2 linked regions of the Mus musculus genome follow. The protein of the gene in region 1 purifies or fractionates together with the protein of each later gene. This does not show direct contact. Links are inferred from orthologs where the notes say so. Each region holds a gene or a part of one and is shown on either strand. Other genes may lie near its edges.

Region 1 (3,809 bases):
GGGAAGCAGGCCAAACTGCTACATAATGAGACCCTGGGCTCACAAAAAGCATCACTTAGTCCGAGGCTAGAGTCACGCTCTGGTATTGCTTGTTGCCTTAGTGTGCTAGAGTCCTCGAAGAATAACTGCTGACCTTATTCACTGGCTGTGGACTTTCTGGCACAGTCAGTCACCAGGTTAGTGACATCCGACATATGTCAGGTTAACCCATTCAAAGTTACGTTGGCTTTTGTCAGCCCTATTTCTTTAGGGAACCCTTTAAAGAGAGGGGGTGCTAGTTAGTGACCTGACTTCTGCTTTGAAAATTATATCTGGTGCCTGCTGTGTCAGTGTTCCCAAGAGTGAACATTTACACTCACTAGTAGACGACTACAAAGATAAGCTTACTCGGAGTGAGGCTCTGAAGATGGTTGGGGAAAAAAGCATCACTTAGAAACCCAGATTCTAAGCCTTATGTTTTAAATTTTGTATGTAAACCAGTGTGTGTTTTATAAAAACCATTTGTGGTTAGATACTATAAAGTTAATGAGATAAATAATAAGCTGGAAAATATTTTAGATAAGGACTGTTCTCTTTGTAATTATATATTAAAGTTTACAACTAAGAAAGGTAGATATAGAAAATGAACCAATACCTAATTTTTAAAAAGACAAAAGGCTAGTAGGGAAATTGTTCAGTCTTTCTCATGAAAGAACAACACAGTAAAGCTGGGTATGGTGCTGTACGCACCTTGGGCTGCATGGTAAGGAGCAGGTTAACTGTGCTACCTATCAAAAGCCTGCCTTTCAAAAAAAATAAACGAACTCATAGGATAAAAGGAAACACCGTTAAACAGCAGGAGTGAGAGTCTTCCCGTGTAGCAAGGAGTTTTACTCAGTTTTGAGGAGTTGGGGGAATCTTTCTCACCTGTACTCATGGTATATTTTAAAATCCAAACAGCCTTTGAGCCAAGTAGTAATTTACTATTTTCTATAGAAATACTCTCATATAAAAAAGTAGAAGGGAGTTTTATGCTTACTCTCTATAGCACGTGGGCATAGGTTGAATGTGAGCCATATGTGTAAAATGCTCTGTGCTTGTATATGGCCAGAACAGTTAGTTCCTCAGTAACACTGGTTACAATGAAAAAAAAAAAAAAAAAAAAAACTTGCTAAAAATGTATCCTCCATGCCTGATGTCTGTGAGACACCCTGAAGAGCTGTAGGCTCAGAAAGGCCCTTTTGACAGCTTCTCTGTTTTTATTCTAAGAGTGGTTAAAATATTCCAAAAGTTGATAGAAAATAAGGCCAGGATCATGTTGCAATCTTTCCATAGCTAGACTTAATAATTTCCTGGAAAGGATCTAAAGTTTCTTCCTAGATTTAAGTCACCTAGATATGCATCAGCTCTGTGTGTGGACAGCTTGTTGATTGAAGATCTTAGGGCCTAAGTGTAAGGCTACAGTAAGTAGTGGGAGTTGATTCTTGAGAAACTGATAGTCCTGGCCCTGGGCTAGAGCGAGTCAGTCAGTGTCTGGGAAGGTACGGCTATGTCTTCCCGCAGGAATGAAGAGGGTGTGCTTGAGCGACAGCCTTAGAGTTACCTGAGAGGCCCCAAATAAAACTCCAAGTGCTGTGCTCAGCCAGAGTTAGTCTCCCTTTTCTCAGAAATCTTGTAGACATTTTTAGTAAAGCATATGCCATTCCGGGCTCACAACTATGCAAGTACAGTATTGTGTTCAGCACAGAGTCCTTTGGAAATAACTTCTTTCTCTGTTGCAGCACTGTTGAAGTCTTTCAAGTGCAGTTCTACGGCGTGTGACAGAAGATGGAAGTGTGTCAGGAATTGAGGAAACCAGCGCTAAGCCTGGAGTGTGGGCACTGCAGTTTCAGAGGCACCGATTATGAGAATGTGCAGCTCCACATGGGCTCCATTCATCCTGAGTTCTGTGATGATATGGATGCCGGGGGCCTGGGCAAGCTCATCTTTTACCAGAAGAGTGCAAAGCTCTTCCATTGCCATAAGTGCTTCTTCACCAGCAAGCTGTACGCCAATGTGTACTATCACATCACGGCCAGACACGCAGCCTCGGACAAGTGGAGTGAGCAGCCGAAAGAGCAGCCGAGCAAAGACACCGAGTCTGGGAAAAGCCCTTCCCCTCCTGAGCGGCAGAACCCAGCCTTTGACCCAGCAGAGGCGAGGCCCACTCCAGCCCTCCCCATGGAAGCACAGAAAACGAGCCCGAGCTTGTGTCCAGAGTCACAGGCTTCTGGTCCTCCAGTTCTGGAGCCTCAGGGCGCTGGTCCTCTTATTTCGCCCGAGCCCCAAGCCCCTTGTCTTCCTGCTGAGGCCTCAAAAGCTGCTCCTGTTCCTTGCCCTGAGCGTGTAGACCCACCCTGTGAGCTTCCTGAGCTGGAGAAGCCTGAGCGAGGCCCTTCTCCTGAGTCAGTCAAGTCTGCTCTTGTCAGCTCCAAACCCCCAAAGCACTCTTCCTTTGCAGACACAGGGGCTGCCCCTTCAGCTTTGTCTCCAGAGTCACCAGTACTGGCCACTTCCCCTGAACCTTGGGGACCATCCCTCAGTGCATCTCCAGAGTCTCGGAAGCCAGCGAGGACTGCCTCCCCTGAGCCAAGGAAGCCATCCCCAGCAGAGTCTCCTGAACTTTGGAAGCCATTCCCTGCCATCGCTTCAGAGCCTCGGAGACCAACCCCAGCAGTGTCGCCAGGTTCCTGGAAGCCAGGGCCGCCTGGTTCTCCTAGGCCTTGGAAATCCAGTCCTTCAGCAACATCAGGACCGTGGAAGTCATCTAAACCTGTTCAACCTATGTCTCCTGGACCTTGGAAACCAATACCTTCTGTATCACCTGGGCCTTGGAAACCTGCCCCATCTATGTCCACTGCATCCTGGAAGTCTTCAGTCTCATCTGGTTCCTGGAAAACACCACCCACATCTCCAGAGTCATGGAAGTCTGGCCCACCTGAACTCCGGAAGACAGCCCTTCCCTTGTCTCCTGAGCACTGGAAGGCAGTGCCTCCCGTGTCTCCTGAGCTCCGCAGACCAGGCCCACCACTTTCCCCAGAGATCCGAAGTCCAGCAGGTTCTCCAGAGCTCAAGAAGCCTTCAAGCTCACCAGACCTTTGGAAGGTTTCTCCTGACCAGCGGAAAACTTCTCCTGCTTCACTTGATTTCCCTGAGCCCCAGAAAAGTTCTTGTGGTAGTCCTCCTGATCTCTGGAAGTCTTCCTTCATTATGGAGTCTCAGAAACCTAACGTCTTCTCTGAGACGAGGAAGCACACTGCTTCGGGCTCATCTGAGTCACCGAAGGTAGCGTCAGACATATGGAAGCCTGTCTTGTCTATCGATGCTGAGCCTAGGAAGTCCACACTGTTTCCTGAGCCCACCAAAGCAGTCCTTCCTGCTTCTCCCGAGCCACGGAAACGCGCACTTTTCCCAGAGTCCCGGAAGCACGTGTTTCTACCTGAACTTCCCAAATCCGCTGTGTTCTCAGACGCCCAGAAGGCCCCTGAGCTTAGTGAGGAGATACAACTTGAAGCTGTGGATAATGCAAAATGCGATAGTCTGGCCCAGGAAGGGCTTCTGGCCACCCCCAAGAAACTGTTAGACGAGGCTTTATCTCCTTCTTCAAAGAAGCTCAAGAAGGACAGCCAGGAGAACTCGGATGCCGAGCTCAGTAGCAGTGAATACATCAGAGCAGATTTAGACACGTTGGACACGAAGGGCCAGGAGTCAAGCAGCGATCAGGAACAGGTGGATGTGGAATCGATTGATTTTAGCAAAGAGAACAAAATGGAGATGGGTAGTACAGAGCA
Region 2 (4,470 bases), on another chromosome or scaffold:
GTTAACTTCACAAAACAATTTAGCTAAGAAGCAGCAGATTAAATCGGAAGAAATAAGCCAGCTCTTCCTTTTGTTTCTTTTAATCTTACCACACAGTCTGTTAGTGTTCCCCATTGCTCAAAATGGCTCCTCAGACTCTCGTCGGTTGTTTCGAAGCTCAGCCCTCCGATGAAGAGCTTCCGCAGCTGTTCTGGCTCCTTGGGAGACTAAAGTGGAGGAGGGAGTGTTTAGCGGAGGGGCTGGAACCTGGGAAAATGAATCAACACCCCGCAACAACACATGCTACACTTTTTTATTGTTCTTTATTACTGCACGAGACCACGTGCTCCTTCCTAGGCTAGGAGGTGCTGCTGGGGATTCACTCGAGTTGCACGCAGCGCATGCGTCCTTACTTTTACTTCATACGCACGCGCAACAAAGGGCACAGGTTAGTCGGGTCCATCCCCATTAAGACTTAATATCTCTTTAACAAGCGATTGTTAGACCAGAATGGGGGAGGGGAAGAAAAGGCCACACTCCCCAGATCATTAGTCTGTGAAGTTTGCCACAAGGAACAGTGCATGGACGTTAATGGCGGTCGGATCGCAGCCTCATGGTGACTATGAGGACAAAATGGCGACCTGCATTTTTTTAAAGTAGGCCTCAGCACTAATCGATAAAACACCGAAACCACGGGTGCGAGCAGCAAAACACGTCACATCCCGCTATATTCAGTAAGTGTGGAAGAAAGAGAAGCTGCAAAGCGCATCCAACTTACCTCGGACTTAGACATGACGGTAGAGTTACGAGAGCCTTCAGCGATGCTTCCTCGGCAGCGTCAAAGAGCAGAAAGGAATACGATAACGAACGTGCCCGCCAGCCTACCTTCTGCTCGCCCTTTTATCCCGCCTCCTCGCTCTCGGTATTGGTAGACTCCGCCCTTACTTGAGTCTTATTGGAGATTTGAAATTATTCCCTCCCACCATTGGCCCGTGAAGACGCCCTGCTAAGAAACGGCATCCGTTTGGGCGTTCTATTCAGACTCCGCCCCTTTGAGTCACTGATGCCCCAAGGGATCTTATCCTTAATCGCATTGATTGGCTAACTAGCCAGTCACTTATATTTGAATGTATTCACGTCTTTTAAATGCCTTTCATAACTTTCCCACACCCGAACATTACAAACTCACTCGTCAAAGGACCGCACGCTACAAAGTAGCTCACCGCGACTTTTCCCAGCCACTCCCTATAAGGCGCATGTGTAATAAAAATGGCGAGTTCACGCCGGCGCACTACGATGTTCCGCCTGCTGCCTGGAACACGTGAAATGGCGGGCGGGAGAGGGTTGTGAACCTAGGCGCCTGCGTAGTGGCGGGACCAGCGTCCAGTTTTGCGCAGGCGTTTTGGGCGGAGAAAAGGTCCAAGCCCAGGATTGGTTGCGCAGGCGCAGGGAAGGATCCGTTTTGGCGGGCGGTTGGCATTGCGCAGAAGGCGGCGGTAGCGGTGGCTTGTGGTGCCGCTTTACCACAGAGGAACCGTGCAGGCCTTAGCGTGAGTGATCACTTTAGATCTTGGGTAAGTGGCAGAGTCTCGTCTACCCGTACGAGATCTTGAACCCGCTCCCATTGCACCGGTTATTGTACGAAATGAATGGACCGCTGAACTGGTGGGGGGGGGGGTGGACGACGACAGTGAAGGGGCCGCGACGGGTCGGGCCAGCCAATAGGACAACTGGGGCGGGATGTTTTATCCTTGCAGGTTCTGTGAAGCTGCCTTGCCGAAGCATTTGACTGGCGAGCCTATAGGCCAATTGGGTTTTCCTATAGCTGCCTACCGATCGGTCCTTGGGCCATCGGAATGTGGGAGGCGGGTTTTTCTCGCCTGAGTTGCGTCTCTCCGAGCCAATGAGCCCCAAGCGCGCGATTGGCCGGCCTTCCCCAAGAGGCAGAGGCTGGACTCCTGTGGGGAGCGCGGGAGTTGGCTGGTTAAATTCTTAGAGCAAGCCAGGAGTCACTAGAAAGACAGGATTCCCCCCTCCCCCCCCCAATAAAGCTTACTCTTGCATTTGTGGGGGCGAGTATTTTAACTTAAAATGACTCCTATAACTAAGGCATTCATTCTGTATATTACCTTAGGGAAAACATATGTTTTCTTGTGGCCCTTGAGTTAATCATTTTTCTTGTAGTTTTTGGTACGTTCCTCCCTTCACTTGAGACTTTGGAGAACGTGCCTTTAGTCTTTGAAAACTTTTAAGAGAAGAATATTGAAATTTTGAATGAGATGACTTAGGTAAAGTACTTGCAATGAAAAGCATCCAAGAAAAATAGACTTAACCACTAGCACCCATTTCCAGGGACACTGTATTTGTATTTCTATCTCTATGAAAGTTTTTGAGAGTTACATGTCAAAAGTCAAAACGTGTTGCTTCTATGGAAACAGTGGGGCCAAGGCCTGTATGTTTGAGGGATAATTGTCATTGATGAAATAATGAAAACCTTAATAAAAATAGACACATTTGGTTTTTTGTTTGTTTGTTTTGTGTCATCATGTACTTGTCACCACCATTCATGTTCCCAATTCTTTTATCTGAATCTCTTCTCCGAAGAACATTTTTCTCCCCTAACATTCAAGATACTCTAAGCTCCTATTTCTGCTGTTCATTTGAGGATGTCTGGTGTGGGGTGAAAAAGCTGATTCATTTAGGAGGTATTTAGGGTGTTGGGGACAGAAGACTCCACCATATCTTGAGTTGTTATTCATTGTTTTGATTCCATATATTTTTGTATTTTCTCTGCAATTTTGTTGGTGTTGATAATACCCACACTTCTCAGAGTATCTAGACAAATGTATAATTTCCATTTATTATCTGTGTCTGTTGATTTATTTATAGTCTTTGAGGTAGAGGTACCTCATTGTGATAAGAAAATTCCAGCCTGGCGTTAGTGGTCATTGCCTTTAATCCTAGCAGGAAGATGGATATCTGTTTGAGGCCAGCCTCCTGGTCCATGTAGTGAGTTACTTGACAGCCAAAGCATAATCAGACCCTGTCTCAAAAACGAAGAAAAGAAAGAAAAGAAGATAGTTTCATACTTTTTACAAAAGACTGATGATGCCGGGTGGTGGTGGTGCACGTCTTTGATCCCAGCACTCGGGAGGCAGAGGCAGGCGGATTTCTGAGTTTGAGGCCAGCCTGGTCTACAAAGTGAGTTCCAGGACAGCCAGGGCTACACAGAGAAACCCTGTCTCGGGGGGTGGGGGGGGGGGGACGGACGGACTGATGATTTCAATTTAGTTTTCTGTTTTATGTCTCAGGCTGGCCTCACATGAAGAGATCTACCTGTTGGTGCTATCATGCTTGACAGGTTTTTTTTTTTGTTGTTGTTGTTTTTTTTTTTTTTTTTTGGGTTTTTCGAGACAGGGTTTCTAAGTATAGCTCTGGCTGTCCTGGAACTCACTTTGTAGACCAGGCTGGCCTCGAACTCAGAAATCCACCTGCCTCTGCCTCCCAAGTGCTGGGACTAAAGGCGTGTACCACCACCGCCTGGCGCTTGACAGGTTTTAGTGATGTTTCTAATGAATAGAGATTTCCATAGTCACTGGCACTTTAAAAAGGACAAACATATTATACAACCATTAGCTGCTTATTTACACTAACAGTGCAACTTCAGTACTGAGCTCTAAAGTGATAGTGGACTCACGGCATCTACCTAGATATGGTTCAGAATATTTTTTTTTCCTTCCAGACATGGTTTCTCTGTGTAGCCCTCATTCTGTAGACCATGCTAGTCTTGAACTCAGAGATCCGCGAGCCGCTTGTTCTCGAGAGTGCCGGGATTAAAGGCGTGAGCCACACTTGCTCAGTCTCTGCTTTCTTCCTTTCCTTTCAGTGTTTCAGTTTTGTTTTTTTTTTTTCAAATTTTTATTAGGTATTTTCTTCATTTACATTTCAAATGCTATTCTGAAAGTCCCCCATACTTCCCCCCCAGTGTTTCAGTTTTAAAACAATACCAAAAATGTAAAAATGAATAATAAAGTCTTCCTCTAAAAGGGCTAATGCTAGAATTTATCATTTTCAGACATTTAGCAGTTAGCAAAGCATGGAGGAAATGACCGCCCACCACCACAACCACCACCACCTTGTCTTGGAGTACTCTTTAATAAATGGACCATTAATCCTGTTTTTCCTCTGGTATAGATTAGTTTCTGGGTCTTGAGGTTAAAAAGGGAAATTTTACCATTTCTTAGAGAGTGAACATAGGATTATGGCCAACCTGTATGCTTTGTGAGTTTCAGGTCAGCAGGGCCTACTCTGTCTTATAAATGAATAGGACTGATTACATCTTCAGTGTATGTGACTTGTTTTTTAAAAAAAGGCAAGTAAGGGGCTGGGTATGTAGCCCTATCTTAGATGTTCTTAATTTTGTAGCAGATATAGGCCCATCCTGACATTCTTGGGTTTTTTTTTTTATTTTTTTGGACAATGTTTCTCTGT

Evidence for each region.
Region 2: the proteins of Champ1 (region 1) and Cbx5 purify together in Homo sapiens (affinity purification with mass spectrometry; 6 studies listed by BioGRID and IntAct, with this or other methods). This does not show direct contact. The link is inferred for Mus musculus from reciprocal best matches to the Homo sapiens genes CHAMP1 and CBX5.

The regions. Positions count from the first base shown.
Region 1 is NC_000074.6:13,876,038-13,879,846, forward strand, and holds part of Champ1 (chromosome alignment-maintaining phosphoprotein 1), read left to right. Parts: intron 1-59; exon of another isoform or gene 60-189; intron 190-1,760; 5' UTR 1,761-1,806; coding exon 1,807-3,809. UniProt on the Homo sapiens protein: Required for proper alignment of chromosomes at metaphase and their accurate segregation during mitosis. Involved in the maintenance of spindle microtubules attachment to the kinetochore during sister chromatid biorientation.
Region 2 is NC_000081.6:103,236,816-103,241,285, reverse strand, and holds the start of Cbx5 (chromobox protein homolog 5), read left to right. Parts: upstream 1-1,433; 5' UTR 1,434-1,553; intron 1,554-4,470. Other genes in the region: Hnrnpa1 (heterogeneous nuclear ribonucleoprotein A1), read right to left, coding at 90-206, 758-772. UniProt on the Homo sapiens protein: Component of heterochromatin that recognizes and binds histone H3 tails methylated at 'Lys-9' (H3K9me), leading to epigenetic repression. In contrast, it is excluded from chromatin when 'Tyr-41' of histone H3 is phosphorylated (H3Y41ph).